Linked DNA regions of Mus musculus. The protein of the gene in region 1 binds, or shares a complex with, the protein of each later gene. Links are inferred from orthologs where the notes say so. Each region holds a gene or a part of one and is shown on either strand. Other genes may lie near its edges.

The links.
Region 2: the proteins of Tlr4 (region 1) and Ly96 are in contact, whole or in part, in a crystal structure (PDB 4G8A), measured with the Homo sapiens proteins. The link is inferred for Mus musculus from reciprocal best matches to the Homo sapiens genes TLR4 and LY96. Residues at the interface, in NP_612564.1 of Homo sapiens: Gln39, Met41, Glu42, Asp60, Ser62, Phe63, Asp84, Ser86, Arg87, Thr110, Gly111, Val132, Val134, Glu135, Asn156, His159, Ser183, Ser184, Asp209, Leu212, Arg234, Val259, Glu262, Phe263, Arg264, Asn265, Glu266, Arg289, Ala291, Tyr292; in NP_056179.4 of Homo sapiens: Met40, Tyr42, Ile66, Pro67, Arg68, Arg96, Ser98, Asp99, Asp100, Asp101, Tyr102, Ser103, Phe104, Arg106, Leu108, Lys109, Gly110, Glu111, Thr112, Thr115, Thr116, Ile117.

The regions. Positions count from the first base shown.
Region 1 is NC_000070.6:66,831,181-66,847,582, forward strand, and holds the end of Tlr4 (toll-like receptor 4 precursor), read left to right. Parts: intron 1-2,713; coding exon 2,714-2,880; intron 2,881-8,048; coding exon 8,049-10,299; 3' UTR 10,300-15,401; downstream 15,402-16,402.
Region 2 is NC_000067.6:16,679,008-16,696,030, forward strand, and holds the start of Ly96 (lymphocyte antigen 96 isoform A precursor), read left to right. Parts: upstream 1-9,448; 5' UTR 9,449-9,500; coding exon 9,501-9,612; intron 9,613-12,676; coding exon 12,677-12,766; intron 12,767-17,023. UniProt on the Homo sapiens protein: Binds bacterial lipopolysaccharide (LPS). Cooperates with TLR4 in the innate immune response to bacterial lipopolysaccharide (LPS), and with TLR2 in the response to cell wall components from Gram-positive and Gram-negative bacteria.

The DNA.
Region 1 (16,402 bases):
AAGACCCTTTAGTACAGTTCCTCAGGTTGTGGTGACCTTCACCCATAAAATTCCTTTTGTTGCTACTTCTTAACTATAATTTTGTTATGGTGTTGAACGATAATGTAACTATCCCCTATGCAGGATATGTGATATGTGATCCTGTAAATGGATTGTTTGACCCTTAAATGGGTCAAAGTCCACAGGTTAAGAACCACTGGCCTAGATCATGATAGGTCTTCAGTTGTATGTGTAGTATGTGTGAAACCAGTGAAAGAATGACTTCTGAACACCATCTGATGTCCTCGTGTTCTGCCTGTGGCTTCTCCATGACAGAAGGCTCTGCCAGTTTGTCTACATTTGTTCCCACTTGTTATTATTTGCTTATGTTCTTTTCTCCTTTTGACATACATATTTTTTCCTTTACCACACATTTCCTTGATCAGCTTTCCTTCTGAATCTAGAATCTGTGTCTTTGCAACTTTCGTAGTTCTTATTCATGTTCTTCTCTGTTAGCTGGTTCTATGAGTGCAGTGCCATCAGAAATCATGTAACATGTATTCTTGTACCACCCATGGCCTTTAGCAGAAAAAGCCTACTATTTAACTTATACGGGCTGGTGTCCCACCAATTACACAATATTTATCATTCATTCATCCAACAAATGTCTATTGAGCATTGAGAGGTCACCATGTACCTTTCTGAGCCTTGAAGATAAATAGCAAACAAAAATCATCAGAGCATCAATGCTCATGGTTCAATTGATAAATGAAAAGCATCTGGAAAATAACTATATAGGCAAGAGATTTACCTTGTCATCAAAATCTGTAAAGGAAACAAAAGAGGGTGAGAGAAGAATTTCTGTCTGATGCCTTACTCTCTTAGATACATTGCCTTCAAGGATCCGATGATGAGTACCATTTAGGGAGATGTGTGTGAAGAAGCCTGTTTATGTATGAATCTTCTGACTATATGTGTATTACCCCACCTCTTTTATTTTCTTTGTCTTTAGAGGATTTTTTGAAGATTAGTATAAAATACATAAGTTGTAAGTAAATGCTAATATGTAGCAAGGAATGAATAGTAACCAATGATAATTAACATTAATATTTATCACTTTAATTAATGCAAGCTTTGAGATAAGCTCTGATCTCATTTAGCCCTTTGAGAATTCTATTGCTTTTAAATAAGAGAAAACAAAACTCACTGGGTTAAGCAAAGCATTTTGCCAGATGAAATCATATAATTATGATATTACATGAAATGTTATGGTATAGGGTTCACAATAAATGTGAGAAAACAGATAAAACTAGTGGAGATTATGATAGAGAAAACACTCAACCCTGAGTACAATTTTCTACCACTGGAATCCATGCACTATAAGACAGCCTCTGATCCCAGGACCAAACTGAGAAAGTCAATGAATCTAAGAACAAAAATAATTGTCAAAAAATAAGGCAGAATCTAGGAAATGTCTGTATATTTTTATTGGTACTCTCCATGTAGCTGTATATAATGAAAATGATGAATTAGAACAACAATAATTTTACATAAAAGTATATACAAGCATACATTAACATGGCTTTTACATACAACTAGCGAGGTTCACAGAAGATATTATAAAGTCAAACCAGCACACAAGCAAAACTTTGTCCCACACTCAGTATTCTTTAGTTCTTTGTGTAGTGTTAAAGACTCCTGCACATGTGTAGCTGTTGGCCTTTTACATCTCATGTGCAGGCAGCCATGTCAGTGAAACTTTATGGGTGTAGCTTTTGACATTAAGAATCACAGTATCACAGTAAAGTTCGTAACCTTTGGACTCATAATCTTTCGTCCTCCTCTCAGTGATCCCTGACCTGTAGGTGTTGGAGTTGTATTGTAAGTGCTTCCATTGGCACTGGACTCCAGAATTCTGCATTTTGGTTGGTTGTGATTTTTTTGTCGTGATCTCTGTTTATAAAGTGGGAGAAATAGTCTTTCCCAAGCAATAGCACAGCAATTAGTTACCAAATGCCAAATGGCCAACCCTGAAAACATATACATAAGTAATATTATACAAACTGAACAGGTTCTACTTATATATGTGGGATTTTATTTATACAATATACAATATATATATATCAACAATTAATGAAGCGGGCAACACGGACTTGAAAAACAGCAAAGACAAGGGAGTAAGAAAAAAACTTTAAGAGTGGAAAAGGAAAAGTGAAGTGATATAATTATAATTTCAAATAATAGTAATAAAAAAGATCTACTCTGTACCAAGTGGCACACAACACTTGTTATGAAATTAAGGTTTTCAGACTTGAGAGTTATGTAACACCTGATTCTATTGTTTCTCATTTAATCATAATTTTGTTGTAGCAGAATGTTAACATATTGAGAATTCAGGGGATATTTTTTCTTCCTGATATGTGGAATAAGATGTCTTGCAAATATGAAGAGGCAGATAAATAAATGGAGAAGGATGGGTGTGATACCATATCCCCAGAATGGCAGGTATTTTGGGAGTCCAATGTTATCTTTGACTGTATAGCTAATTTAAGGCCAGACTGGTCTATAGGAAAGCTTGTTTCAACCAAAATAAATCATGAACGAATGAATGAATAGGTGGACAATATGTTGAGTGGCATGTACATGTGAGAGTTTTATCACCCCATTATTCATCTTTGGAGAGGAGTGGGAACACACGGTTGGAAACATAACAATTGTTGTGTGGTATTTACAGGTAGTTCCTAATATTACCTACCAATGCATGGATCAGAAACTCAGCAAAGTCCCTGATGACATTCCTTCTTCAACCAAGAACATAGATCTGAGCTTCAACCCCTTGAAGATCTTAAAAAGCTATAGCTTCTCCAATTTTTCAGAACTTCAGTGGCTGGATTTATCCAGGTAATGAATGAGCTTTTATGTGATGCAGAATGTGAAGTAGTTATTTTTTATATCATTGCATTCTTGGCTTAGAAAACCAAGGTGGTTCTAACTAAACTTCCTTCTGTCATCTATTCAGTAGTGCTACAACTTGCTGTAAATCCTTGGAAAAGCTACTTTTATTTAACTGGTTTCAGTTGGATGGGCCACTAGATAAGAATATCTAAGGGCAATTCTAACCTCTACATTATTTAAAACAATTTCATTAGATATTTATGAACCATGTCTTATATGTTGTATGTCTAAACTACAGAAGAAGAATTTATAGATACAAAACCCATACTCCTAATTATTAAGCAGGATAAAATCCTCTTTAACAAATAAGTAAGTTAAAGTCTTGTCCTTATTATTGAACATACAGCACAAATAAAATAAATGTTAACTAATGCTAATACTGTTGTTTATAACAGTAAGTAATAAAATATGTGAAAATAAGGGCAACACACTGTGTCCTATAGAAGAGTGAATGTTTTGTTATGTGTGTGAGAGGATCAGGAAAGATTTTGAGACATGAGTACATATGTAAGATACCTGAAATATTGAAAGTAGAAAAGAGAGTAGAGATTGAAAAAAAAACTAACTTAGGAGGGAGATGTAAATGTCCAAGTAAAACATCAACTATGGGCAAGAAACAGTTACTAAGATTGTCCTTTCTGATTCAGGGCATCTTACCATTTGTTGGAACATAAAAACTTTTAGCCAGTATTTCAGGCGGGAAGCTCAATATATTTTATTGGTTAAAATTGCTCTTTGACAATTTCATACATCTATGTAATGCATACAGCTACTCTTACCTTCACCCACACTGAGTTTTCTCTGATCACTGTTAGCTCTGACCCCTTCCAAAATGTCTCCAACCTATATTCATACCTTCTTATTTATTGTTTGACCCACTGATTTTAACCAGGTTCTCTGTGTGACCATAGATTTAGAAAAACCTATCTGAGACTAGTGAGGTTAACCATTTGATAAGCAACTAAAACCAGTGACGGTTTCTCCCCAAAAATCTAAACTTTGGCAGAGAAGAAATGATTCCATGGTCCCCTCCATGATCAGTAAATATCTATTGGCATGATCAGTGCAGGGAACCACAGCTTCTATGACATCAGATTTGCAAAGTCTTTGTCATGTCCCACATGTCCCTCATGTCCCACAAATCCCTCCTCTCTCTGTCTCTTGGCTCTTACATTTCTATCAGATTCCTCGTCCTTTATAATCCCTGACTCTTGGAGAGGGATTTGTGAATGTTCATTACAGGGGTGATCACAGAACTATGTTTTGCTTCTTCTAGCATCTTGTACATCTAAGAATATCCTCATTCACTACTGTTTACTATAAAGGGAAGTGACATTTGTTAAGGGGTATAAATGTAAATATTTAGACAGAAGTCTGGTACTATGCTAATTTAACTAAACCACAATAACCAATGCCCTCTCTGCACCTCAAACATCAGGGTCATAGGCCTCTCTAAGCAACATTTTTTGAACAGGTTAACAGTACTAGCCTTGGACAAAAATCTAATCCAAGAAAGCTTTGTTACTCCTAAAATAGTTATGCCAGAATTTCAGCACTGGACACATCTTGCCTGGCAGGTTCATGTAATAGTTCATCTGGGCCATAGCTGGAAGAGACCAGTAATGATTTTTCCCCACCAGCCTTCATGACACCTTTCTGCTGAAAGCAAATCAGCAGAGAGAACATTGGTTGTGCTTCAGCTTCATGTCAGTGGGTTGTACTGATCAAGGAGATCCTTAGGTGTTGAAGTTGAACGATGAACCTCTTCTCTACCATATTCCTAAAGCTACTGGAATGTTTCACACATGTGTTTTTGTTCTAAAATTTAGAGTATGGTATTAAAAGTCTTCTGCAGAGCAGACAATACTGTAAATCATTAGTGAACTAGAAAATGTATTATACTCTTTACAGGAGCATGATAGATGGAGAATTCCAAAGGAAGAGGACCACAGCTCTGTTGGTGGAGCCTGTGCTTTCTCCAACGTTTAGCACCATGTGCCCTGTTGCTTGTAACTTTTCCTGAGTCTCTGTCTTCTCTCCTAGTAAAGGAAAATGGTAAATCTCCCTCCATGGTGAAAAGTTAATAAATGAGAGATTATTAAAATTATTTAGTGAGTTTATGAGTTTGAAAACATGCTATCATAATCACTTTATTAAATTGTACATTCTACTTATCCCAGGGAGATAGATTTGAAGAGAACTGAGGTAAGCAGGTAAAAAACTCTAAACAGAATAATCTCTTTTTAATATAGAGAACATAGTTTTTCACCCAGTATAATTGAGAATTGATCTAAAGTATAATGTAAGATAATTCCTTAAAGGTTTGGAGTTTGTATTCAGGAAAAAGGTAAGTTCCTCTTCCCTTAGCTCACAGGATATTTTGCATTAGAGCAAAGCAGACAATCTACTCCTGTGCCTTTCTTTAAAAAAAAAGATAATTTTCATTATGTAATTTCAAATGTTGTCCCTTTTCCTGGTTTCCCCCCCTGAAAACCCACTATCTTCACCCCCTCCCCCTGCTCACCAACACACCCACATCCACTTACTGGCCCTGGCATTCTCTTATGTTGGGGCATAGAACTTTCACAGCACCAAGGGCCTCTCCTCCCATTGATGACCAACTAGGCCATTCTCTGTTACATATGCAGCTAGAGCCATGAATCACACCATATGTTTTCTTTGGTTAGTGGTTTAGTCCCAGGGAGCTCTGGGGGTACTGGTTAGTTCATATTGTTGTTCTTCCTAGCACTGCAAACCCCTTCAGCTCCTTGGGTACTTTCTGTATTTTATTCACTGGGGACCCTGTGCTCCGTCCAATGGATGGCTGTGAGCATCCACTTCTGTATTTGTCAGGCACTGGCAGACCCTCTCAGGAGACAGCTATATCAGGCTTCTGTCAGAAAGCTCTTGTTGATATACACAATAGTGCCTCAATTTGATGGTTGTTTATGGGATGGATCCCCAGGTGGCAGTCTCTGGATGGTCATGCCTTCAGTCTCTTCTCCACACTTTGTCTCGGTAACTCTTTTCATGGGTATTTTGTTCCCACTTCTAAAAAGGATTGAAGTATGCACACTTTGGCCTTCCTTCTTCTTGAGTTTCATGTGTTTTTTGAATTGTATCTTGGGTATTCTGAGCTTCTGGGCTAATATCCAGAATTAAGTGCATATCATGTGTCTTCTTTTATGACTGGGTTACCTCACTCAGGATGATGCCCTCCAGGTCCATTCATTTGCCTAAGAATGTCATAGATTCACTGTTTTTAATAGCTGCATAGTACTCCACTGTGCAAATGTACCATATTTTTTGTATCCATTTCTCTGTTGAGGGACATCTAGGTTCTTTCAAGCATCTGGCTATTATAAATAAAACTGCTATGAACATAGTAGAGCATGTGTCCTTATTACAAGGTGAAGCATCATCTGGATATTTGCCTTGGAGTGGTATTGCTGGATCCTCAGGTAGTACCATGTCCAATTTTCTGAGGAACCACCAAACTGATTTCCAGAGTGGTTATATCAGTTTACAGTTCTGCCAGCAATGGAAGAGTGTTCCTCCTTCTCTACATCTTGCGAGCATCTGCTGTCACTTGAGTTTTTGATCTTAGTCATTCTGACTGGTGTGAAGTGGAATATCAGGGTTGTTTTGATTTGCATTTCCCTGATGACTAAGGATGTTAAACATTTTTTTAGGTACTTTTCAGTCATTCAGTATTCCTCAGTTGAGAATTCCTTCTTTAGTTCTGTACCCCATTTTTCAATATACACAATCATAATCATATATGTATGTATATGATTTGGCAATAGAATCCTAACAGAAAGTGGAAACTTGAGAAAGAATCAAACTTAGTTGCCTCATTTAGAAGTGGAATGATAGAAACTCACAGAAATTAATGGGTTCCCAAGATCATGCAGGAAGAATGGAGAGTTAACATGGCTCCATGGATTCCTCTTGCGATATTCTTTTTAACATACCTCTACCTTTTGTTAAATTACTAAGGAATAACCAAATCACAGACCAAAACTCTTTTATTACCTATGAATACTCCAAAGAAAATAGGAAAAGTGAGGGAAGGTAATTGGGTTAGATTTGGAAGTGACTCTTTTGCTAAATGTATCTGGCATGCATCTATGACAACATCTGTCATGAATCACTGTTGGCTGCGTCTGAGTTCTGTGGCTAGCTTGTCTCTGTGGAAGCTTTACGTAGTACAGCTTACATTTATCTTGGAATAAAATTTAGAATATTTCATTGAGCTTGTGAGTCTACACTATTCCCACTCTTGCCATACCTTTATATTATTCTTCCTCAGTTTCCTTGTTGCCCTTCAGTCACAGAGACTCTGTTGTGGCTCCTCCGTCTGGCATGCCTGCTAACTACTACAACTTTTGGATCGCTGTTTTCTTCATATATTCTTCACATTCGCTCATATTGATCATTGAAATTTCCACTTACTTATTCTCAAGTGTAATCTGCTTTTATCTGGTGAGAGAGGGTCAATTCTTTTGATGTGAATATTCTTAACCCATTTTCTTCTTCTTCTATAAAGCTTACTCATGTCCCTAATAATTAACATTTACCTGTGATAATGACAGACTCAAAATAACTAGCCATCATATATCAGTAAAGTTTTGTAAACATTTATGCCATTCTTGACTCTTGACACCTATGTGTCATTATATATGCCTTTAAAATTAACTTTCACCAGTAATTTATCATGACTAGCAAATAATGACCACCCATATTGCCTATACTCATTAGTTGTAAAATTATATCTATGTCTGGAAAAAATGCATAAATTAATCTAAGACTACTACATATCAACTGTCTTTATGTACCCCAGTTATGATCTTGAATTGATTTTTTCTAATGGATTTGCTGCCTGACATAGTGTGATAGTTTATCATCACTGTAGCAAGTGTGAAAATGACAAATCTGCAGAGTTCCTCTCCTGCTCACACCATCATCACCTGTTTTGCTCTGTACAGTTTTCTCTTTACAATAACATGGTATATCATATCTGTTTGTATCATAGTATGGTAGGGACTGTTATGTCATTAGAAAGGGTTTTTTTTTCAGCAAAAATACATAATTGGTATCTCTTTTGCCCATAGGTGTGAAATTGAAACAATTGAAGACAAGGCATGGCATGGCTTACACCACCTCTCAAACTTGATACTGACAGGAAACCCTATCCAGAGTTTTTCCCCAGGAAGTTTCTCTGGACTAACAAGTTTAGAGAATCTGGTGGCTGTGGAGACAAAATTGGCCTCTCTAGAAAGCTTCCCTATTGGACAGCTTATAACCTTAAAGAAACTCAATGTGGCTCACAATTTTATACATTCCTGTAAGTTACCTGCATATTTTTCCAATCTGACGAACCTAGTACATGTGGATCTTTCTTATAACTATATTCAAACTATTACTGTCAACGACTTACAGTTTCTACGTGAAAATCCACAAGTCAATCTCTCTTTAGACATGTCTTTGAACCCAATTGACTTCATTCAAGACCAAGCCTTTCAGGGAATTAAGCTCCATGAACTGACTCTAAGAGGTAATTTTAATAGCTCAAATATAATGAAAACTTGCCTTCAAAACCTGGCTGGTTTACACGTCCATCGGTTGATCTTGGGAGAATTTAAAGATGAAAGGAATCTGGAAATTTTTGAACCCTCTATCATGGAAGGACTATGTGATGTGACCATTGATGAGTTCAGGTTAACATATACAAATGATTTTTCAGATGATATTGTTAAGTTCCATTGCTTGGCGAATGTTTCTGCAATGTCTCTGGCAGGTGTATCTATAAAATATCTAGAAGATGTTCCTAAACATTTCAAATGGCAATCCTTATCAATCATTAGATGTCAACTTAAGCAGTTTCCAACTCTGGATCTACCCTTTCTTAAAAGTTTGACTTTAACTATGAACAAAGGGTCTATCAGTTTTAAAAAAGTGGCCCTACCAAGTCTCAGCTATCTAGATCTTAGTAGAAATGCACTGAGCTTTAGTGGTTGCTGTTCTTATTCTGATTTGGGAACAAACAGCCTGAGACACTTAGACCTCAGCTTCAATGGTGCCATCATTATGAGTGCCAATTTCATGGGTCTAGAAGAGCTGCAGCACCTGGATTTTCAGCACTCTACTTTAAAAAGGGTCACAGAATTCTCAGCGTTCTTATCCCTTGAAAAGCTACTTTACCTTGACATCTCTTATACTAACACCAAAATTGACTTCGATGGTATATTTCTTGGCTTGACCAGTCTCAACACATTAAAAATGGCTGGCAATTCTTTCAAAGACAACACCCTTTCAAATGTCTTTGCAAACACAACAAACTTGACATTCCTGGATCTTTCTAAATGTCAATTGGAACAAATATCTTGGGGGGTATTTGACACCCTCCATAGACTTCAATTATTAAATATGAGTCACAACAATCTATTGTTTTTGGATTCATCCCATTATAACCAGCTGTATTCCCTCAGCACTCTTGATTGCAGTTTCAATCGCATAGAGACATCTAAAGGAATACTGCAACATTTTCCAAAGAGTCTAGCCTTCTTCAATCTTACTAACAATTCTGTTGCTTGTATATGTGAACATCAGAAATTCCTGCAGTGGGTCAAGGAACAGAAGCAGTTCTTGGTGAATGTTGAACAAATGACATGTGCAACACCTGTAGAGATGAATACCTCCTTAGTGTTGGATTTTAATAATTCTACCTGTTATATGTACAAGACAATCATCAGTGTGTCAGTGGTCAGTGTGATTGTGGTATCCACTGTAGCATTTCTGATATACCACTTCTATTTTCACCTGATACTTATTGCTGGCTGTAAAAAGTACAGCAGAGGAGAAAGCATCTATGATGCATTTGTGATCTACTCGAGTCAGAATGAGGACTGGGTGAGAAATGAGCTGGTAAAGAATTTAGAAGAAGGAGTGCCCCGCTTTCACCTCTGCCTTCACTACAGAGACTTTATTCCTGGTGTAGCCATTGCTGCCAACATCATCCAGGAAGGCTTCCACAAGAGCCGGAAGGTTATTGTGGTAGTGTCTAGACACTTTATTCAGAGCCGTTGGTGTATCTTTGAATATGAGATTGCTCAAACATGGCAGTTTCTGAGCAGCCGCTCTGGCATCATCTTCATTGTCCTTGAGAAGGTTGAGAAGTCCCTGCTGAGGCAGCAGGTGGAATTGTATCGCCTTCTTAGCAGAAACACCTACCTGGAATGGGAGGACAATCCTCTGGGGAGGCACATCTTCTGGAGAAGACTTAAAAATGCCCTATTGGATGGAAAAGCCTCGAATCCTGAGCAAACAGCAGAGGAAGAACAAGAAACGGCAACTTGGACCTGAGGAGAACAAAACTCTGGGGCCTAAACCCAGTCTGTTTGCAATTAATAAATGCTACAGCTCACCTGGGGCTCTGCTATGGACCGAGAGCCCATGGAACACATGGCTGCTAAGCTATAGCATGGACCTTACCGGGCAGAAGGAAGTAGCACTGACACCTTCCTTTCCAGGGGTATGAATTACCTAACTCGGGAAAAGAAACATAATCCAGAATCTTTACCTTTAATCTGAAGGAGAAGAGGCTAAGGCCTAGTGAGAACAGAAAGGAGAACCAGTCTTCACTGGGCCTTTTGAATACAAGCCATGTCATGTTCTGTGTTTCAGTTGCTTTAGAAGAGTATTGATAGTTTCAACTGAACTGAACGGTTTCTTACTTTCCCTTTTTTCTACTGAATGCAATATTAAATAGCTCTTTTTGAGAGGTCTTCATTCCAATTTCATCTTCCATTTTATGTCATTTTCTTTTCTTTTTTTTTTTTATCTAATTCTATAAGAAATATGATTGATACACGCTCACAGATAGCCTGGCCAATCCTAAGAATGCTATATTTATTAAATACAATTCCTAGTATACTTTTACTTTTATAAATTCAGTTATCGTTTTTCATGCCTTGACTATAAACTAATATCATAAATAAGATTGTTACAGGTATGCTAAGAAGGCCCATATTTGACTATAATTTTTTAAGAAAGTATGTAAAATATACTTTGTCATATTGTCACTGAATGTCATTCTTAAGTTATTACCTAAGTTATGGATGTCACAGAGTCAGTGTTAAAAATAATTTGGTTGATAGAAATATTTTTAATCAGGAGGGAAAAGTGGAGAGGGGTGCAGGAACAGAAATCATGATTTCATCATTTATTCTTGATTTTTCCGGAAGTTCACATAGCTGAATGACAAGACTACATATGCTGCAACTGATGTTCCTTCTCATCAAGGATACTCTCTGAAGGACTTGAGAACATTTTGGGGAGGAAGAAAGGTCTAACATCCTTTTCCTTCATCATTCTCATTTCTGGACATGCCTTGTGAGATGGATGAATGTTGGGAGTACACATTTCTGCTTTCACCTTATTTCAGTCAGCATGAACACTGAATATATAATGTCATTTCACAGTGTGTGTGTGTGTGTGTTGTGTATGTACATATATGAACCTGTACATGTGTTTAAGTTTAAAGAGAAAATAGTGTACAGAGCAGCTCTATATTTGTGATAGGGCTTTAAATAGTTGAGCTAATTCAGAAAAGTATGGAGATTTCTTGGTAAAGGAAACCAAAGTAGAATCATTACAAGATCTAACAATAAAAATTTTGAAACAATCCTACAAGTAAATATATTGGATTTTCTTGTCCATTAAGACAATATTCATACTATTGAAATTATGGAAACAACCCTTGGAAGGTTAATGCATAGAGACAGAATGCTATCTACTTGCAGTGGAATGTGATTTGACCTTGGAGAAGAAGCAAACCTTGCTACTTGTGAGCAGATGCATAAAGGTGGAGGTTTTTTATTGTAAGTGAAATATGCCAGGCACAGAAGGAACTGGCCTTTCAGGAACTTTTGATGACATGAGCAAAGTTAGAAAAAATAATATGCAGAACAATAGAAGAGGAAGACAAAAGAAAGACAGCCCTAGGATGTATTCTTCACAACGATTTTAAACAATATGCTTGAAAGAGAATGAAGTTATTAGTATCAATTAAGATGTCTACAATTTTCATAATTCCATTCAAACTGGAACATAGCCACCTAATTATTTGTCTCTTGTTAGCCAAGTGAAATAGCAGATCAAGAATCTCCCCATTTTTCTGATATAAAAACCCAAATTCTAATGCAGTAAATGTCTTGTCAATCAGCCAGATAGCACAGAAGAGGCAAGGCGACAGTCTGTGCCCCTTCCCTCTCACAGAAACTCCTGTGCACTCTAGCCCACTGCTTCAGGCTACAAGCTAGAAAAGCAAGAAGTGAAAGTGCCACAGTTCTCTATGTGGTTAGTGCCAGTCAGGGTCATTCAACTTAAACCATGAGTCATTAAGAAAATACATATGCATGCATGCATTAATGCACAGAGTAGTTTATTTATAACAACTCTTTCCATAAAGGGCTGGGGAGTTTTCAACAAAATATAAAGGAACAATTAGTTTAATCAAAAGAAAGAAATATAGGCAGAAGAAAGAAATGAAAGAAAGAAAGGAAAGTTTTAACTGTGTATTCCAGGTTTAATTCTAGAGATCTTCTGGAATTTTAGAGAGTGTGACTTTTGGAGAATTCCTAAACTCATTTTCAGATTATATTACGTATGTGACTTGGCCTTCATCTGTCTGAGAGCTAAGAAAGAAATGAAGATCATGCATTTATTATTAGGCCATTACAAACTAATAAATATAAAGATAAAAGGGAGACTCTGTGGATGAGTCTCCCTCTTGGCTTTCTTATGGGTAGTCAGAGAGAAGCACTCAGTAGCCTTATCCTTGACAACATTTTTGTCACATTTGTTTTCCCAGTCTGTAGGACAACAGCAGTCCTTATGACTAAAGTAGATTGTATCTTTTTTACCTAGCTTCTATTCATCTGTGTTGTCCTAGCTTCCTTTTTGAGTCTACAGCCTTTGAGAAATCACTAGAAGTCACTGGAACCTCATGCTTTGACTTGAGGCAGTCCTCATATGTGTTCCTAGGTACTCGAGGGGTCAGTTGGGAGACTGGGGAGCCATATCTTAACCATCAGCTTTGCTTCCTTGGTGTTGAGCATCATGCCTGACAAAGTAAGCAGACAATGCCTGTATACGTGAAGAAGAGGAGAATCATTAATGCATGTTTTCTTGGTGTGCTGTTGTCCTTGATACATTCCAGTTCAGAATCTAAAGTCCTAGGGATCTTAGCTGTCAACTTAGTTTTCCCTGTCTGTCACTTTGTATGGATGATTTAAATTGCTTCTTCACTTGGTTGCTTGACACCATGTATTCTAAAATTTTGTGGAAGGTGTGTGTTGGGGGGGGGCGTAGTTCTAACAATAGTGTTCTCTAGTGGATACATTAAAATCATATTCAGCTAATTAATATTTGATTAAGTTTTGCATGCTATACCGATTTGATAAACATTCACAAAATCACAGGCTTCAAGATTTTTCTTAACACATCCAAAGTACACAGGCATTAAATGGGCAAAACTAAATATCAAACTGACTTTATTTAATAGTTTCTCTACTGTTCTCTTTTGTTTTATGTCAAGAGTTGAATGCCACTGTTCTGTATTTTTAATTATTTATTGTTTGCTATTGTGAGAATTCAAAGCCAGAACTTTGAGGAGCTGACAGAGGCACTGTGGCCTATGAAGACAGTTTTTGGAGTTAACAATTTCCTTGGTAACTATGGACTATGTCTCCACACTTCAGCTCTCATATCTGATGGAATAAACTCCTTTCCAGGAGGCTTCTACTTATGCTAATGCACCCAAGCAAACAAGGAGGCTAATAGAACCAGCTGTTTCTGTCTTTATAGCAATTTCCCAACATTCTACACTTGAGGATTTCTTCTGTCACATGATTTTTTTCATTGGGCATTCTTTCAATCCTTCATTAAATGGCCGAGACTTCTCACTAGACCCCAACTCAATGAAATTCTTAAGCTGCTAGCATTGAACAACACTGACTTTTTCAAAGCACCTTGATAGGGAATTTAAGCTGGACCATCTGAAGCAGGAAAGTCTGTTGTTTTGATGGAATTTCCTAATGGTACCATTGTGGCTTTATTTTGCCTTGTTAATGTAAGGGATTCAAAGCATTTCAACTTACTACTCATAGTTCAAGCATCTATTTTGCAGATGCACTGAAAATTAAGAGATTGGAGAGTTTGTCATATATATTTCCATCATCAACTATTCTAGTTCTTACTAAAGAAGGAGGGTGCAAAAATTTGAAGGATATGTTAAAGTGCCTTCTATACTTAATGATTCTTCTAGAAAAGGCAAAGTGTTGATCTTGTTCTTTGTTATGGTATTATATCTTCTCATGGTAATTTGAAAGAAGTTTACATACCAATTTCAGTTTGTTTACCTAGGCCTTGAGAGTCATTCTACAGTACACGATTAGGCTACTATGAAGACAAAAGAAATCATTGTGGGGAAACTCAGTACAGCTCTAGATTTACCTTTTATAATAGATGAATCCCAGAATGATAAAGATCAAGCCTGGCATGATGTTAATTTAGTGGGCTAGGATCCTGGAAACCTCCTAAAATAGGACATCCCATGCATTTGGCCTTAGCCAGTGAGGCATCTCTGAGAAAGTGTAGAAAAACTTGCAAGGAGGTTCAGTGCTCTGAAAGACACAGAGTCAAATGTACATGTAATTCCAGTTCTTCTTTTATATATGTGTACTTTACATAGTCCCTGAAGTATCGAGAGGCTCAGGTATAGGTGCTACCACCTTGATAGAGTTCACTTAGCCAAAATGCAGAAATGGATGCCCAGAGAGAATAGATTACTTGTCCTGCATCCTGTAACTTAAAATGTGTTAATAATCATCATAATAAATTCTATCTGCCAAATATTTCATATGTGCATGAGACTGTTTTAGTTTAATTATTAAAATTGCTTTCTGATGCAGCTCTTAGCCACATTGTCATTTCCCATACAATGAAACTGAGACCAAAAAGCAAATTCTCCAATTCCAAGGGTAGAATTCAAGTAATCCTGATATCCAGAGCTGCTAATTTTTTGCCACACAGTAGACTGCTGCAGTGTCTGGGCTTTTTTGCTGGGGCTCATTCACTCACTAACGGGAGAATCCTGTGGACAAGGTCAGCAACTCCCTTACCATCTAGAAATTGAAGGTTTCAAAGGCACTGCATGTGACTTTCCTTGATTTCTATGGAAATGAAGATGGTCCCTCCTGTGACAGTGCTAAGTGCCGAGTCTGAGTGTAAATGTGCTTTTTGGCACAAATTGTTCTGTTCTAATAGTGTTGATTATAATTATAAAATAATGTGTTTCTGAAAGGCTGCAAGCAATTCTGGGAATGACAATAAGGGTTTCGAAACAACATGGTATTTATGTGAGAAGTGTTTTGTTGAAAATTAAACCTGTGTTTAGGAGAAAGGATCCTGTTGTTTGCTCCTAAGAAACTATCACACCATGTAATTAAATCAGAGCCAGTTGGTTGCCAATTGGAGTTCTTGTCTCACATGAACAATATTGTATCACCTACAACAAACAAGATATGACTGACCAGAGGTAGCCAAGACTCTTTACCCAAATCCTGTTTCTCTATCTTCTCAGGGCCCAGAAAAAAGATGGAAATGCATGGTCAGTTTTTTTCCAAGGCTGGGAATTAACCTTGTAGGGTGAAGCCTTCCTCAAGTTCATCTCAGATTGTCCGTAAGGAATAGGTTTTTCATTCAAGGGCCTTTTATAGGAGGCTGTATCTGTAAATAAGTGAGGAATTCAATGTTTGAGAGGCTGTCTTGACTTCCTTTCTTGGGAGGAAAAACAAAATCCTTCTATGAAGATTAGGAATGTCTTCGATGTTCTCAGACCTCAAAGGCAGAAAAAAGTATGCAGTGTAATTTGTTTGTATGTATCTCTCTTAAAATAATATCTACCATAACATTGTCTCCCAACCCGGATTTGTGTTTTATTTTCACCAAGGACATCATAAGGTTTAAAGCAGATCTTGCAAGGGACGTCATAAAAATAGATATATGACAGGATGGTAAAGTTTACCAGGCTGAAGAACCACTTGATGATTTTGGCTATATTTAATTATATAAATTTCTGCTTTTATTATCTCTCTTGCTAGAAATTTTATTTGATAACTAGAGTTTAATAATCTGTATTTTTAAAAATATTCTATGTGCAATTTTAAGTATAAACAGATCTGGAAATTACTATTTAAGAGGCAACAGCCTATAATGTACCATGTTTAATATGGCCATGTGCTCTGTCCTTGAGATTTACTGCTGAGAGCCAAAGAAAGATCAACAAAATGGAACGGGAAACTTATTTATTTATTTATTTATTTATTTATTTATTTATTTATTTATTTATTTATTTATTTTAAAGAAAAAGGTGCTTCATTTATCTGATGATTTTATTCTTTTA
Region 2 (17,023 bases), on another chromosome or scaffold:
TAAGAGACTTATTTACATGTTTTGGTTGTTTTGAGACAGGGATGCTCACTATATAGCTGGCCTTGAATTTGAGCTGCTCATTCTGCCACAGCTTCCTCACTGCTAGGATTACAAGCAAGCACCAGCATGCTCACTTAATGTTTATTTTTTTAAACTTCTATTCTCTCATACCTTACATCCCATCTGCAGATTTTCCACTCCACCCTCCCACTCTTCTCACCTACCTCCCCTTTGTTTAAAAAAAAAAAAAAAGCAGGACTACCAGGGATATCCATTGAACATGACCTAAAAAGATACAATAAGATTGGGCACAAACCTTCCTTCACAGTTGGGCTCAGCAACCCAGTAGGAGGAAAGGGGTCCGAAGTGCAGGCTAAAGCCAGGGATACCCCACTCCCACTGTTGGGAATCCCACAAGAACACCAATCCACACAACCATAACATATACACATCTAGCTCAAACCCATATATGGTCCTTGTTTGTTACTTGAATTTCTATGAGACCCTATGAGTCTTGCTTAGTTGATTCGGTGGGCTTTGTTCTCTGGTATTCATGATACCCACTTAACAAACAAAAAACAAAAGAACTGTAGATTTATTAAGGAAAAGTGGAAGAAGAACTAAGAGCAGAAGGGTTTCAGGGGAGGAATACACCAGTTTTTACAATTTATACAAATGTTTAACCTTTAACAAAATAAAAAAAAAAACCATTCACAAGTGGCAAAACCAGGAAATAAGTTCATTTCAGATGCCAGGACATGTCGTACCGCCCTGCTTGCACATGCGTTTAAATGTCCTGCATAAATGTGAGTGCTTTGTCACTTGGGAAAAAGGTTTTATTAATTTGTAACAGAATAATCCAAAAGACATCTTGTTTGGGGGCAAGGAAGCCCTGAGTGGCTATAATGACTTCTGAAGGCCATTGAGAGGCCTGGTGTGAAATGAGACCAAGATGGAGATGGGACCTGTGCTTATTTAACAGTTTAACCATTTAACCACATTGCTTTGTTGGTTGCAATTTGTCAAGTAATCCCAGTGTCCCTTGGTAGCTGGCCATGGACAGGCACAGGTTTTTTGTTATTTGAAATCAATTTTAAAAACCAGTATTAATTCTTTTTTTGTTTGTTTTTGTTTTTTCGAGACAGGGTTTCTCTGTGTAGTCCTGGATGTCCTGGAACTCACTCTGTAGACGAGGCTGGCCTCGAACTCAGAAATCCACCTGTCTCTGCCTCCCAAGAGCTGGGATTAAAGGCGTGCACCACCACTGCCCGGCTACTAGTATTAATTCTTAGACCACATATTGCATGTATAGTAATTACATCTACCCATTTGTATACATGAAAGTTATAGGAAATCTACAAAGGTGTTAAAGAGACTGGCAAAGTTCCAAGTGGCCATAAGGGAAAGGCAGAGGTAGAGCTGTTGCAGGTGTAACATAGAATAGGAGACACTGAACTTGAAAGAACCTAGTGGGGAAACCCCCACTCAATTTCTGTTCTGCGCGCACCCAAGAATCATGAACAGACCACCATCTTGATGTAAAAGCATGAGGTAGTTTAATGATGGAGCTCCTGGCCGACACATAGCTCCCGCAGGAGACAGAGGTGTCGACCACATGGTGGAGCCATAATGGCGGAGCTCCGGTTCGAAACGTAATCACACAGGAGACAGTGGTTTCGACCCCGACGCTTGGAAGCTAGGGGTTTTTATAGAAAAGGGGTGGGGCTGGGGGAGGAATTGGTGCGGTTTCACATGATTGGTCCATTTAAACATCAACAGACTGTCAGAAGGGCGGGAGATAGGGAGGTACCAGGCCAGTCAGGACATGTAACAATGGGCCTGCCCAGGCATGACCTGGCCTGTTCTGCTATGTTCTCAGCCCCAGGTTTCAAAGCTCACAAACAACTCTTTGGGCTATTTGACATAAATTACATGAATCACATGTCTCAAGTTTTATTTCCTTTCAAACTCATCTGGAGAGCTGCTGAAGGTAGCACAGCCAAGGAACAGAGGTCACACAGATGTGTTGCAGATGGACAGTATCTTAGGGTTTTACTGCTGTGAAGACACCATGACCAAGGCAACTCTTATAAAGGACACCATTCAACTGGGGCTGGATACAGGTTCAGAGGTTCAGTCCATTATCATCATGGTGGGAAGCATGGCATCGTTCAAGGCAGCCACGGTGCTGGAGAAGGAGCTGAGAGTGCTACATCTTGATCTGAAAGCAGCCAAGAGAAGACTGTCTTCTGTAGGCAGCCAGAAGGAGACTGGATTCAATACTAGGCAGAGCCTGAGCATAGGAGACCTCAAAGTTCACCAATATAGTGACACACTTCCTCCAGCAAGCCCACACATCCTCCAATAAGGTCACACCTCTTAATAGTGTCACTCCCTATGGGCAAGCATTCAAATACGTGAATCTATGGGAGCCAAACCTATTCAAACCACCACCTATAGAAATTTGGCTCATGTCAAGAAGGGGACTGTGTTGGGAGCTCTCTTACTGTAGATCCCTAGAGGCACACACACAGCAGGTGGTCAGATCACATGTCAGGGGGGATGCTACCATTGCTGTGTTACCGTCTTTATGGTGTCCATGTGGGGACACTCGAAGTGTTCGTGTTATGTTCTTTGGCTTAGTTTTCCTGATTGATTGATTGATTAATTAATTAATCTAATTGAACTCTGGTCTCATGTAGTCCAGGCTATCTTTGAACTCACTATTAGTTGAAACTAACCTTCAACTCCTGATCTTCCTGCCTCTGCCTCCCAAGTAGAGTCCAGTAGTGTATTGTCATATCTAGCCTAATATAATTTGTTTGTTTTTGTTTGGTTTTTTCGAGACAGGGTTTCTCTGTGTAGCCATGGCTTTCCTGAAACTCACTCTGTAGACCAGGCTGGCCTTGAACTCACAGAGATCCTGCTGTGCTTGCCTCAGCTTCCTGAGTGCTGGGATTAAAAGCATGTGCATGACGAGTTTTAACACAGCCATGTGTTCTATGTTCTTCATGTACTTTAAATCTATGCGTGACACCTTTGTACCTTCAGGGAGAAGTTTTTTTTTTTTTTTTTTTTTTCATTTTGTGTTTCTGGTTTGTGCAGAGTCATTCTGCTCCATCAATGCACTAAAGATGAGGCCAATGCTGCTGTGTAAAATGGAGTCACCAAGGTCAAGGGACACCCTGAAAGCCACTCTTTTGTATAATATAGAGTGAGTAACATGTGGAACAGTTTGATCTTCATAGAAGCCTCATTAAAATAAGTTAGGAGAAACAACTCATAAAATCAGCTCTATATGCCATCCCAAAACATGGGAGGCAAGAGGATGGCCTTGGAGTTCAAGGTCAACTAGGGCTACATAGCAACATTTAAATTTCAAAAAACAAAACAAAACAAAACAAAAAACCTCAGGCCAAGTTGAAAAGGACTAACACTCTACATCCTTCCTTCATCCCACTTCCGTCTCCTCCGGGCAGGTTACCTATGAAGGAAAAGGAGGCACACCCGTAAACAGATTCACAATAAATACACCTCGACCCAGGGGCTGAGAATTGCTGTGTTAGACACAGGGTCTCTAGGCAGTCTTGGCTGGCCTGGAATCACAGATCCACCTGCCTCTGCTTCTTGGCACTAAAGGCAGGCACAGCTGCCACCATCTAACTTCCTTTAAGGCCAGGGTCTCTCACTGAACCAGGAGCTAGAATGGCTAGCCTTAGGCATCATTCCATCTTTGCCTGTACTGTGTCTGAGTCCAGCTTCATGCTACATTCAGCTTTTTTCACTTTGATGTTGGGAATTGGACTCTTCCTCACACCAGAGGGACAAGCACTTTATGGACGGGACCTTTTCTCCAGCTCCAATAATCCTTGTGTTTAATGATGGTCTCATTGTATTGAAGGACTCCAGTTTCAGAAGCAAAAATAACAAACTGGGGGCTGAGGAGGTGGCTTAAAAGTTAAAAGTATTTGCTGCTCTTCCAGACAACCTAAGTTTGGTTCCTGCATTCAAATAGCACCATATAACTGTCCCTCTACTTCAGGGGACATCTTCTTCTGGTCTCCAAGGACACCAGACTCTAACATGGCTTAATGAACATGGCACACAAGCATACATACAAACAAAAACATGTGAAATAAAAAGGAATATTTTTTAAAGATAACAAAATGGCCCTTAGGTACTGACAGCCTCAGCTTGAATAACTTGGCTAAAAATACATTCATATCCTTTTGTTTGCTTGTTTTTTTTTTGTTTTTTTGTTTTGTTTTTGTTTTTTTGAGATAGGATTTTACTATGTAACTTTGGCTGGCCTGGATTCACTAAATAGATCAGGCTGGCTTGGAGCTCACAAAGATCCACCTGCCTCTGCTTTTGGTTTGCTGGGGTTAAAGTGTGAGCCATATCTTTTCATTGAGGGTTCACACCCATAAAAGTAGAAGAGTACAATGATCCTGCAGCCTCTGCCACCCACATTAATAATCATTTTTTGTTTGTTTGTTTAATACAAGATCTCTCTGCATATCTCTGGCTGTCTTGAAACTCACTGTTTATACCAAGTTGGCCTTGAGTTCAAAGAGATCCACCTGCCTCTGCAGGGGGCTGGGATTAAAGGTGTGTACAACCACACTCACTCAAGGCCCAGTCTCACTAGCTCTAATTAGCCTGGAATTCACACAGACCTGCCCACCTCTGCCTCCCTAGTCTGGGATTGAAGGGATGTGACATTCCCATCTCTCCTGTGACAAATTTGTAGTTGATACTGTTTCTTCTAGACTTAGGCCACTTACTCTACTATTTTATTTTAAAAGCAAGTCCCAGTCAGAGTACTTCTTTCTTAAATTTTTTATTTTGTAACTCGACAGGCTTGTTTTGTTTTGGGGGTTGCTTTTGACCTTGCAATGTAATAACTTCTGATCCTCTTCTTTCCACCTCCTAAGTGCTGAGATTACAGAAACATGCTATCTATCATGTAGAGCAGGCTGTGTGTGTGTATGCATTTGTATGTGAGTGGATGTCTGCCAAGGCCAGAATGAGTCACATTCTCCTGGAGCTGGAGCTGTGAACCTTTCAACGTGGATGCCAGGATTGGAATTCATGTCTTTGATTTCAGACCCAGGGATAAGGGACTGAGGTGCAGACCTGGCCTCCAGGTTCTCCCAGTATCCCTCAGTTTCTACCTGGCATTCATAACCTGTCCCCAACCCTTAACTTTCCAGGAGCTGTGCTGCGCTTCGCCAAGCAGCTTTATATACTCCAGACATTTTGGTCTCCCATCCTTCTCTTTTTCTTTCCTTCTTCTATCTCTGAAAGCACACACAAGCCCTTTTTCTACCACCCCCTCACCTTGGTGCCATCCCTGGCCTCAGTTTTTGGGGCCAGTGAACTCAACACTAGAGCAGTTTCCCTTAATATTTAATCTGGCTTGAATTGACTCATTTTACCAGTGGAGAAATAGTTTATCAATGTCCCATGCAAGAGCAGTAATCTCTTGTAATCACAGAGCCATCTCCTCAGTTCCTAGTAGTTATATTTTTAGAGTATATAATTTTTTATGTGTAGTTTTTGAAACAATATAATTACATTTTTACCCTTTCTCTCTTCTCCGGCCAATCCTTGCCATGTGCTCTTCCTGTTCTCTTTCAAGTTCATAGCCACTTTTTTCATTGATTGCTATCACATGCATATATGTACATGCATATATATGTATATTCCTAAGTATAACTTATTTCTGGTTGTGTGTGTCTCCAGGTCTGGCCATTTGGTATTAGATAACCAGCTGGCATATTTGCCCCTGTTCCTCCTCCTTCCAGCATTCCTTAGTTGCCTGTAGTTCTTTGTCTAGGGTTGAGGCCTCGTCTATTACTGTCATTGTTCACTTCATGTTTAGGCAGTCATGCTGGTAAGACTTTATGAGTGTAGCTTTCTCCATTACTAGGATACAAAGTCTCACAGCAAACACTCTGAGTCTCTGGCTCTTAGTCTTTCCACCTTCTTTTCTGAAGTTTTTCTTGATCCTTAGGTCAGGGAGTGTTTTGTTCATGTGTCCATGGACTGAGCCCCCACAAGTCTGCATTTTAATTGGTTGTGGTTTTCTATAGTGGTCTCCATGTGTTACAAAGAGAAATTTCCTTAATGGAGGGAGGGAGAATACGGCACTTATCTACGGATATAATGGCAAATACTTAAAATGTAGTCAGGGATTTTGCTGCTTTATTAAAATGGTGGTTATAGTTTCTCCTCCAAGACCTCTCCTAACTTGTTAGGACTCTGGTGAGCATGGCAAGCATGGCTCCCTCTGCCTTGCTAAAACATCATCATCATCACATCACATCATCATTACATCATCATCACATTATCATCACATCACACCATCATCACATCATCAACAACAACAACAGATTACATTCCTTAAGCTAGCCACCAAGGTCTATTCCCTTATTTGGCCACTTCCTCCTCTTGAGGCTGACTACCAAGGTCCAGCTATCAAAGCATTGAAGTTTAGCAATCAAAAGCCCCCTTTGGCTCACATAATTTATAACATGCCCAATTAACATTAAACATCTCATCCTAACACAGTTTTCCCCTTAAACCTTTATGAACTGCCATTTTTTTTTTTTAATGTGCCACATCTGACTCCTCTATCCAGAGGCAGTCATTTGTCCTCTGAGACAAATACCCTCCTTTCACTCCCTCGTTCCCTTCCCCTTCTCCCTCATCCTCCATCGTCTGTGGTCTTTGTCTCTTATTTCCTGCCCTCTGTTTATCTGGGGCCAATAAATCTCTTTTGTGTTGAGAACTTGGTCTGAGCTGATACCTTTTCCTTTCTTCTTCTTCTTCTTCTTCTTCTTCTTCTTCTTCTTCTTCTTCTTCTTCTTCTTCTTCTTCTTCTTCTTCTTCTTCTTCTTCTTCTTCTTTTTTTTGGTTTTTCGAGACAGGGTTTCTCTATAGCCCTGGCTGTCCTGGAACTCACTTTGTAGACCAGGCTGTCCTCGAACTCAGAAATCCACCTGCCTCTGCCTCTGCCTCCCGAGTGCTGGGATTAAAGGCATGTGCCACCACGCCTGGCTACCTTTTCCTTTCGATAATGTATTTGTGTTTTTATTATCCATTCATCCTGCCTCCGAAGTACTGAGATTAAAGTCATGTGCTACACCCGGCTGCTTCTCTCATTTTACAGTTTTTTTTTTTTTGGTCTTTTTGAGACAGGGTTTCTCTCTGTATAGCCCTGGCTGTCCTGGAACTCAGAAATCCACCTGCCTCTGCCTCCCGAGTGCTGGGATTAAAGGCGTGCGCCACCACGCCTGGCCATTTTACAGTTTCAAGAGATGGAATTCAGATCCTCCCGGCTAGGCAGCTGGGGCTTCTGCCTACCTTCTAGTTCATGTCATGTCAGTCCAAGGTCTTCATCTTCTTCAAAGCATACGGAAAGTGGTATGTTGTGTCAAACTCAAGCACTCAAGAGGCAGAATTGGGTGGATCTCTGTGAGTTCAAAGCCAACCTCATCTATATGGTGAGTTCTGGGCCAGCCAGAGCTATTCAGTGAGACCTTGCCTCAGAAAACAAACTAGAACAGAAAAGGGCCTGGCCTTGTGAGATGGCTGACTGAGTAAACAATGCTTGTTGCCAAGCCTGATGACTTGAATACAATACCTGCAGCTCATGTGGTAGAAAGGAACCAGCTCTTACAAGTTGTTCTCTGACTTCCACACATGCGCCCCTCATCCTCAAGTATTAAAAGAACCAGTTAAAATAGAAAAATGCAGTTGTGTTTAAATCCTTTTACTGACACAACATTTTTTTTCTTCTGTCTTTAGTTAGGCAGGTAAGCCCAGGGAATTTTAGTAACTTGGGGCTCTGTTTGGATCAGGTTATATATACTCTCCCACCCCCGGCTTTTCTAATAACAGCTGGCAGCCTAGTCCTTTTACCTGTCTATACTGTGCATAATACCCCTACCCAAATAATGCACCTAGCAATCTGGAACATCCACCTGGGTGGGGCTATCATATCTCTTCTCTGAACAATGGGATAGGTATGTCTCCCCTGACAACCATCAGACTTAGACACTTTCTATTCTCATGTGTTCCAACATTTACAGTACGAAGAGTGGACAATCCCAACTGGCCTGATCTGGATTTGGGTATGTGCTCAATATGGTAAACCATCCTATAAGGAAGAATCTATTTACCATATTATGCTAATGCATATTTGGGTGTGTATATAATTATACATTATATAATTATTATTTGGGTCCATTATGGAAATGGGCATATATAGTAGGAAAAATATTAAATGACATAATCTATTGATCAAAATAAAGAACCATCAAAACTATGCCCCTTGATTCAAGTGCCTCCTTCCTTTAGGCTTGATGAAAAGAGGCCCCTCACAGTCACCCAGTGGCCGGGAGTATCCTCAGGTGACCCATTGCTCTCACAGTATGCTCTGATCTTTCTATTGTTTTGCTTTAAATACAATTGCCTTGCTACCTTAACAGTTCTTAGTGAGCAGTTGAGTGTCACCACTAGAACCGGATTGTAGGCCACAGCTGTAAGCCTTCTTGGCTGCTAACCCTAAAGTAAGAGTCTGTAAAAGCCGTGCAGCTGAAGGAAGCACACTTTTCTAAAGTAGTCTTTGAATGAAATACACGCCAGAACAAAACAGCTTTTTCTTTCTTTTTTTTTTTTTTTTTTTAATTACTGGAACTCACACTTTTACCTCAAGATGCTACTCTGTGGAAGAGCTCTAGAGTCCAGCACCAACCCCACCCCCAACTCAACACTATTGCCTCAAGTTCAACCTTCCTTTTGAGTGCATTCTCAAAACTGGTGAGGTCCCAGCTGGGAATTGCTACTGACCCCGTGTAGGGGTCATCTTGCCTGTCTGTTTTGTGGCTGAACCTGTTTGTACTTGAGTAGAAATTGAGAGGGGGTAGGGGAGAGAAATCAGCTTAGATAGCTAGATGCAGCTTTCTAGGTCAGGAGAAACCGTTGTATGAGGAGGAGTGTGTGGGAGGGAGTGGCCAGCACACAGAAAAGTAGTATACCGGTGGACTTTCTTTCTTGAGACAGGATCTCACCTTATAGCTCTGGCTGTCCTGGAACTCACTATCTGGAGAAGGCTAACCTGGAACTCACAGAGATCCGCCTGTCAAGTACTGGGTGTGTGTACTACGGCTAGTGGACTTCCTTTTAAGTAAGGGTTTCCTGTAAGGCAGCTAATTGTCTCCCTGAAAATGTGCTGTTTTAAAGTGCTGGATACTTTAGTTTACACTGAGTATTAAGAAACAGTATATTCTAAGTCATTTTTTTCTTCTCTTGCCTTACAGGAAGTGCTCAGATATGAAAACAAATGCACAGTCACACATGCAAATAAAAAGAGGAAGCAGTTGGATGGGAGCTTCCAAATCACATGACTGCTGACTAAGTTAAATCTGTCCTCCTTACTGTCGAGTCCGATGGTCTTCCTGGCGAGTTTAAAGTATCGGAGATATTAAATCATGTTGCCATTTATTCTCTTTTCGACGCTGCTTTCTCCCATATTGACTGAATCTGAGAAGCAACAGTGGTTCTGCAACTCCTCCGATGCAATTATTTCCTACAGTTATTGTGGTAAGTGGCCCGGCAACAAAGAGCTGCGGCGCCAACTATTTCGAGAGAAAGTTTCCACTGAACCTGAAGCTGGAGGGCTGGCAGGAACGCTGCTCCAGCAGTGAGCCCGCTGCGGTGTGGGGTGGGGGTGGAGCAATGCCGACCACTTCCGGGTGCGGATCATCCTTTCCCTCTCCCAACCCCCCCCCCCCCCCCCGCGTTTCCCCAGGACCTCTGAATTGCTTTTTACCTCTGTTGCTGTCTTGTGGTTAAGCTCTCTCCACTCGGAGCTCGGTTTCAGGTTCTTCTTAGTTCTAGTTTGCTTCTGAGTACCAGCCCCGACACAAACTGGTTCCTCTTGAGGAGGCTAACCCACAGTGCTTCCTGGTGGGGTTGTAGCTCCAGCCTGTGGTCCTAGAGTGCTCTTGGAAGCATCCTTCTTCCTCCCCAACTGTGTGACCTTGAGCAAAATACTTAGACATTCTCAGCCTCACTTTTTTTTTAATTTGCAAAATGAAAGTTATTTTAGAATTCACTGTATGAGTCACTTGACAAATAATGATTTTATTTGATTTCGAATAGTGATTTTTAGATTTATGCAGTAATTATTACTCTATTGAAATCTGTTTTGAGACAGGGTCTTTCTATATAGCTGTAACTACCTGGAATTCACTATATAGGACAGGCTGGGTTGGAAATCATAGAGATCTGCCTGCCTCTACCTCCTGGAATTAAAGGCATACGTTGCCACGCCCAGCTTATTTTATTATTTTTTTCAAAGTATCACTATATAACATTGGCTGGCCGGGAACTCATAGAGATTGATACATATGCCTCTGCCTTTTGAGTTATTTGCTTATTTTTTTGAGACAGTGCCTTATTCTGTAGTACAGGCTGCCTAGAACTGACTATATAGCTTATGCTAGCCTCAAACTCATGCTCCCCGTTGCCTCGACCTCTCCAGTGCTAGAGTTGCAGATATTTTTCAGCTGAGCTAAACTCTGGTGCCATTGGATCATAGTTAACGCTATGGCCACATTACAACTTGTCATTAACAAATGCCTGGGACCAGAAAACCTAGTACAGGGCTTGAGAGCTGTTTCAATCTGTTTCCTCTTTCTGCTGCTCGCTCCGTTAGTTGTCCATTTTCTGCCCCTTCTAGGAATGTCTTCGTGGCTGGAAGGTGGTGCCTTCCAAAATGACAGTTCTAGGAAAAGCAAGATCATAGCCTAGTTGTCTGAAAGTGGAGCAGGGAATTTATAAATGTACTTTGAGAACTCCTGCATTGCAAATTGGTTATTTTGGGGGACTGGCTTGTCCCCAAACACTCTGACTGGGACTAATAACTAATCATCTCTGGGGCATTAGGAAGGTCCTCAGTCTGCTAACCTCTGTTTTCCTCTTCTTTTGGGCCCCCTGCTTTGTCAATTTATTTATTTACTTACTTATTATATATATGTGTGTGTGTGTGTGTGTGTGTGTGTGTGTGTGTGTGTGTGTGTGTTTTCCTGGATGTATATATGTGTATATGCTGATGCCCTCAGAAGCCAGAAGAAGGCATCAGATTTTCTGGGACTGCAATTATAGTCTCTTTTGAGCTGCCTGATGTGGCTGGTAAGAGTTGAATCTGGGTCCTCTGCCAGTGCTCTTAACCATGGAGCCCCCTACTACATGGTGACTCTTCATATGCTTAATTAGTAAAATATAATAAATATTATTCTGCTTTACTCCTTTTAAAAAAGAATTATTTATTTTATGTATATAAGGACGCTATAGTAGCCATGGCTGCTGGGAACTGAACTCTGGACTTCTAGAAAAGCAGTCAGTGCTTTTAACTGCTGAGCCATCTCTCCAACCCCTCAGCTTTATTCTTTTAGTAACAATTTAACTGTCTTTGTTAAGGACTAGGTAAAATGTTCAGGCCTAGGTAACTGTTACCTGTCTAGCCTGCCATGCTGTGCCGTTACTAATATTATAAGGAAACTTTCTTACATGCTGTTATTGCTGTTAGTAGGATGTTCTGTGCTTTGGTGTTCTTAGAAAGGAATCACAATAGAAGTTAGTTAGAACTGTTTTGTATAATTAGCCACAATAAACTTGGAACAGAACCAACTACCCAGCAGCACTTCCTAAACAGGGGTATAAGCTTTTCTAGTATTTGCCTTTACAAGGTACCCTGGGATAGATTTCAGCATGAGAGACACCTGCACCTATTTCCATTTTGAGTAAGTTTCAGATAAAGTTTAATTTCCCAAGACCTCCCTGGGAACCGACATCCTACTTGGCAGAAGGAGACATGTATGTGGGTAGCTGACATCCTGGTTGGGAAGTTAAGACATAAATGTTAGATAAGGCAAGTCCCTGCCACAGAATACCCCCAACAAAGAGGAGCAGGGTAAGTATGCAACAAAGACATGTTCCTAAGGAAATTTCCTGAATCCTGATTGGTGGAACAACTTGGCACAGATGTCTGTAGATCTCAGGCTTAAGAAACCCTATAGGATCTTGACCAGATGTTGCTGTCAGCTCCCAAGTCTGACCTGTGGTCCTGATTGATCAGTCCTGAGTTGTATGCTCAATTATGCTCAATAAACTATCTCTGTCTGACTGAGATCGGTGTTCATGTGGTTTGTGAGGCAACTCCTGGAGCCCAACATTTGTCTTTGTTTGGTTGGTTATTTTTTGAGATAGAGTTTCTCTATGTAGCCCTGGCTGTCCTGGAATTTGGTATGTAGACCAGGCTTGCCTCTCAGAGACCTGTCTACCTCTGCCTCCTGAGTGCTGGGACTAAAGACATGGGATACCACACCTGGAATATATTTGGCTTCCTCTGTCTTTTGATGAGCTTTTCAGAGGTAGAATCTGACCCTTAGCTCAGTAACACCAATAAATCCTGAGAACCGGAGAATCCCCCGACACCAGGTCAGAAGAAAGCAGCAACCCCATGATCCTGCATGTGACCATAACAGAGTGGACCAGTCCTTATACAAGTTTAATAAAAAAGCATCTTTTTGTGCTGATGTTCAGAATGCTATACTTATTGAAAGTTTTTTTTATATACTTGTATTTTCTTCATTCCTTTTAGATCACTTGAAATTCCCTATTTCAATTAGTTCTGAACCCTGCATAAGACTGAGGGGAACCAATGGATTTGTGCATGTTGAGTTCATTCCAAGTAAGTACAAACTTTCACTCTTGTAGTCGGCTACAAAGGACTCTAGAGATTCAGAATAATTCGATTCCACATATGTTTGTTATCTATTGCTATATTATAAGTTACCACACTCTTAGATATATGCTTAGCATAGCACATATCTATTGTGAGATGGCAGTCTGGGCATGGTTTACCCATGTCATTCAGGGCCCCTTATAAAGATATGATCAAGATTGTGACCATGTTGTAGAAGTTGCTGCTTCTCAGTGCACGTGGTGGTCGACAGTATTCAGTTTCTGGATTCTGGCTGTTGGATACATGGGCCTTATTACTTTAGCTGCTTGCTTCATCAAAGCTGGCAAAGGGTAATGATGAAAGGCTTGGACAAGGAAGTGGTACTGTCATTTTTTTAAAAAAAATTTATTTATTTAATGTATGTGAGTACACTGTTGCTGTCTTCATACACACACCAGAAGAGAGTATCTGATCCCATTACAGATGGTTGTGAGCCACCATGTGGTTGCTGGAAGTTGAGTTTAGGACCTCTGAAAGAGCAGTCAGTGCCACTGAGCCATCTCTCCAGCCAGGTACTGTCTTTTTTTTCTGTATTCTACAACTCATCATATAGAGGGTTTTACAAGGATATAGGCTAGAAATGGGAATGACTTGAGCCTGCTAATAATGGGTGGTCTTTGTCAACTATTAGCTATTCAGCTGGTGAGAAGTAATTGAGTTTCCATTGGAGAATCTGTATATGAGCAAGCCAGTATTTTTATTATTATTATTATTTAAAATTTTTATTCCCCCTCACTTCTTCTCTCCTTCTCTCCTTCCTAGCACCTGTGTGTGTGTGTGTGTGTGTGTGTGTGTGTGTGTGCACATGAGTGTGCTCATGTGAGTGTGAGTGCCTGAGGAAGCCAGAAGATGGTCTTGGCTCTCTTAGAATTGGAGTAACAGGTAGTTATGAGCTGCCTGGTATGGGTTCTGGGAAGCTAACCCCAGTCCTCCTTAGAGCAGCAAGCACTGTTACACACTGATCTATCTTTCCAGTCCCAGAACTCTTTACTATTAAAGTTGACCTTTTTGGGGAATGTGGTCTTGCATGGATGTGTGATGCCTTCCATTCAATCTCTAACATGAGGGAGGATATTTCTAGAAAACATATAGTGGTGATGACATGAGAGAAGGAACCGTGCTTGCCTTGTGTTCTATTCTGTATTTAATTACTTCTCAGCGTGTGAAGGCCGACGATGGGAGCTCTGTGAAAATACAAAGGCTCATCCCCTCCCATTAGCCAGCCAGTGCTGCTCTGCTTGCTTCCTCTAAGCCCTGGGGTTCAGAAAATGAATTCTTAGGATTTTGGTTTTTTTTTTAATTCGAGGAGAGCGTCTCATTTAGTAGCACTGGCTGTCCTGGAACTCACTAGTAGACCAGGCTGGCCGCGTACACACAGATCAGCCTGCTCTGCCTGCTGAGTGCTAGGTTTAAAGGCATGAACTACCACATCTGGCTCTCAGGAAAGGAATTCTAGTCTTTAGCACTATGGTCTCCATTTTCAGCACAGACTTGGAGCATGTTTTATATTTTACAAAGTGTTGTCATGTAAATAACAGGCTTTCATAAAAGACATGTTTTTATTATTTTATTTATGTGGATATGTGTATATCTCTTTGTGTGTTTGCCCTATGTGTGGATGACTGTGGAGGCCAGAGTGTAGTGTTAGGTTGGTGTGAGCTGCCCAATATGGATGGATGCTGGGCACTGAACTTGGATCTTAGAAGAGCACTCTTAACTACTGAGTCATCTCTGGAGCCCCTAATACCAATAATTTGTTCTTGTTCTCCTCTTTCCTTCTGCCTTAAGAGAAGGTTGCCACTGGGTAACCCGAACTACATAAAAATGACTACAGAGCCCAAATTGCCCCTAGACTTGTGGAAATTTTCCTGTCTCTGCTTCCCAAGTCCTGGGTTATATGTCTATTCCACTATGCTCAGTATCATGTAGACAAGCTTAAAGAAACATTCCTTCTTCCTCAGATTGTAGACCTCCATCTTATAAGAAAAAAAAAAAGCAGTTAAGAATTTGAGAAAGAAGCTGAGTTGGTGGCACATGCCTTTAATCCCAACTCTTGGCCAGAAGTAGGTGGATGTCTGTGAGTTCAAGACCTACTTCGTCTATATAGTGAGTTCAAGGACAGCCCAAGCTACATAGTAAAACCCTGTCTCAGTGAGCAAGAAAGAGAGAGACAAAGACAGAGAGAGAGAGAGAGAGAGAGAGAGAGAGAGAGAGAGAGCTTAAGAATTGTCCTGACCTTCAGGGATAATCAGCAGGGACCCAGGGCAAGGGAGTGAGAGAGTGGGAGGGACAAGAAACACAAAGAATGAGAGCAAGTCAATTTCCTGATCAAGCTCTGAAAAACTTTATTCAGGAGTGGCAATATAAGCATAAACAAGAGGAGGCTTCAAGGGAGCAGGGAAGAGTCCGGGGGCTTTCCAAAGGTCAGGTGGCAATCTTCAGTTCCTGGAACCAACAGTCACAGTGTCTTCTTTTCCCACAAACATTCTTATTGTTATGAGAATGATTGTTTCAGGATTGTTTATGTAAGCTAGAAAATTTCCACAAGGCCATGGCTCCTGGCATCTCCTTCCTTTTAATTATTTTCACTATGGAACTGGCGTGATCAATAGTCATCTCATCCTTGGATGAGTGGGCGTTAACCAGCAGGAGGGAGCATTGACCTGATTCCTCCCATGGGTACCATCACGACCTATAGTCATGGTTCTTGGTATCTTTTGGAGAGGAGAGGCAGAGCCTTAGAAAAATCCTTAGGATAAGGTTGAAAACAGATACAAACCTCCTTGCAAACCAGGTTTGTCTCATGGGGAATTTAGAGATGGTCCATGGGAGACCTTCCCCTGAAGTGCTTAGCCTTGCAACCCATGCTGGTGCCCAGACTGAATTCATTTTATCAAGAATTATCAAGAATGCACAGGTCTGAATCCTATGCAGCTCCTGAAGGAGAATTATCAACCTCAGGTTCAGCAAGGCCTCTGTCAGCCAAATCAAGTCTATGCATTTGCAAGGATCTCGATGCCAAGGAATCGATCTGCTGTTTTATAAAACCAATAATTCTGTTAAAAATAAAAGGCCCCAAAGTAACTAATAATAAAATGCTTATTGGGTTTGTTCTGGTTGGCGCCAGCTTGGGTGCAAACTCTGCGAACAGTCCCATGGTCCCCTGAGGACTTTCCATGCCATAGGCACCCTAGCACACCCAGGATCTTGGGATCACTGGTGAATGGAATGCAACATCTGTTACAAAACAGCTGGGAGTGGCCTGTGTGAGCAGGAACAGGGACACTGGAAACCCACCAGACCAGCATCTGGGGATCATTCACACCTAGGATCTAAGGACCACGGAGGAGAGTTGGCCTATAGAGAGGGCTATGACCCCAGGTCTCAGGTGAGAGTGCCATCTGGTATCCCGGGTCTCTTAGAGACCAATCAGAGCAGGAGAGCACATGGGGCACAGAAGGAACAGAACTTCTTGGACAGGGTCCCTTTGGGCCTTCATCCTCAGCCAGGAGGCAGAGCTGAGACCCAGACCTCTGGGCACCTTCCCTGCAACAGGAGAGCTTGCCTGCAGAGAGAGCTCTAACTACTGGTACTCAGGAGAGAGTTGGACTCCCAGGAGTGCTGACAGAGGCTAACAGAAGCACAGGAGGAACAAGCTCCAGCCAGAGACAGCTAGAACATCTAACACCAGAGTTTTCCAGATGGCAAAAGGCAAACATAAGAATCTTACTAACAGAAACCAAGACCATTCGGCATCATCAGAACCCAGTATGCCCACCACAGTCCTGGATACCCCAACACACCTAAAAAGCAAGATTCGAATTTAAAATCATATCTCATGATGGTGGTAGGGGATTTTAAGAAGGGCATTAATAACTCACTTAAAGAAATACAGGAGAACACTGCTAAGCACAAGAAAGAAGAAGCACAAAAATCTCTCAAAGAATTATAGGAAAACACTGCTAAACAGGTAGAGGCCATGGCTCCTGGCAAAGAACGACAAACAAGATTTTTTTGTTAGTTTCCTTGAATCTAATTCTAGAATTTTTTTTTTTTTTGATTCACTGTCCTTGTACTTGTTCAGTCATTAGGAGGAATCTGTCAGGTTGTAGGACAACTAAAAAAATTGTGGTAGTGTCAGTCATAAAGAGGGGCATGGAGAAGGGTCTAGAGGTTCTATGAAGTAGAAGTATGTACAAGTCA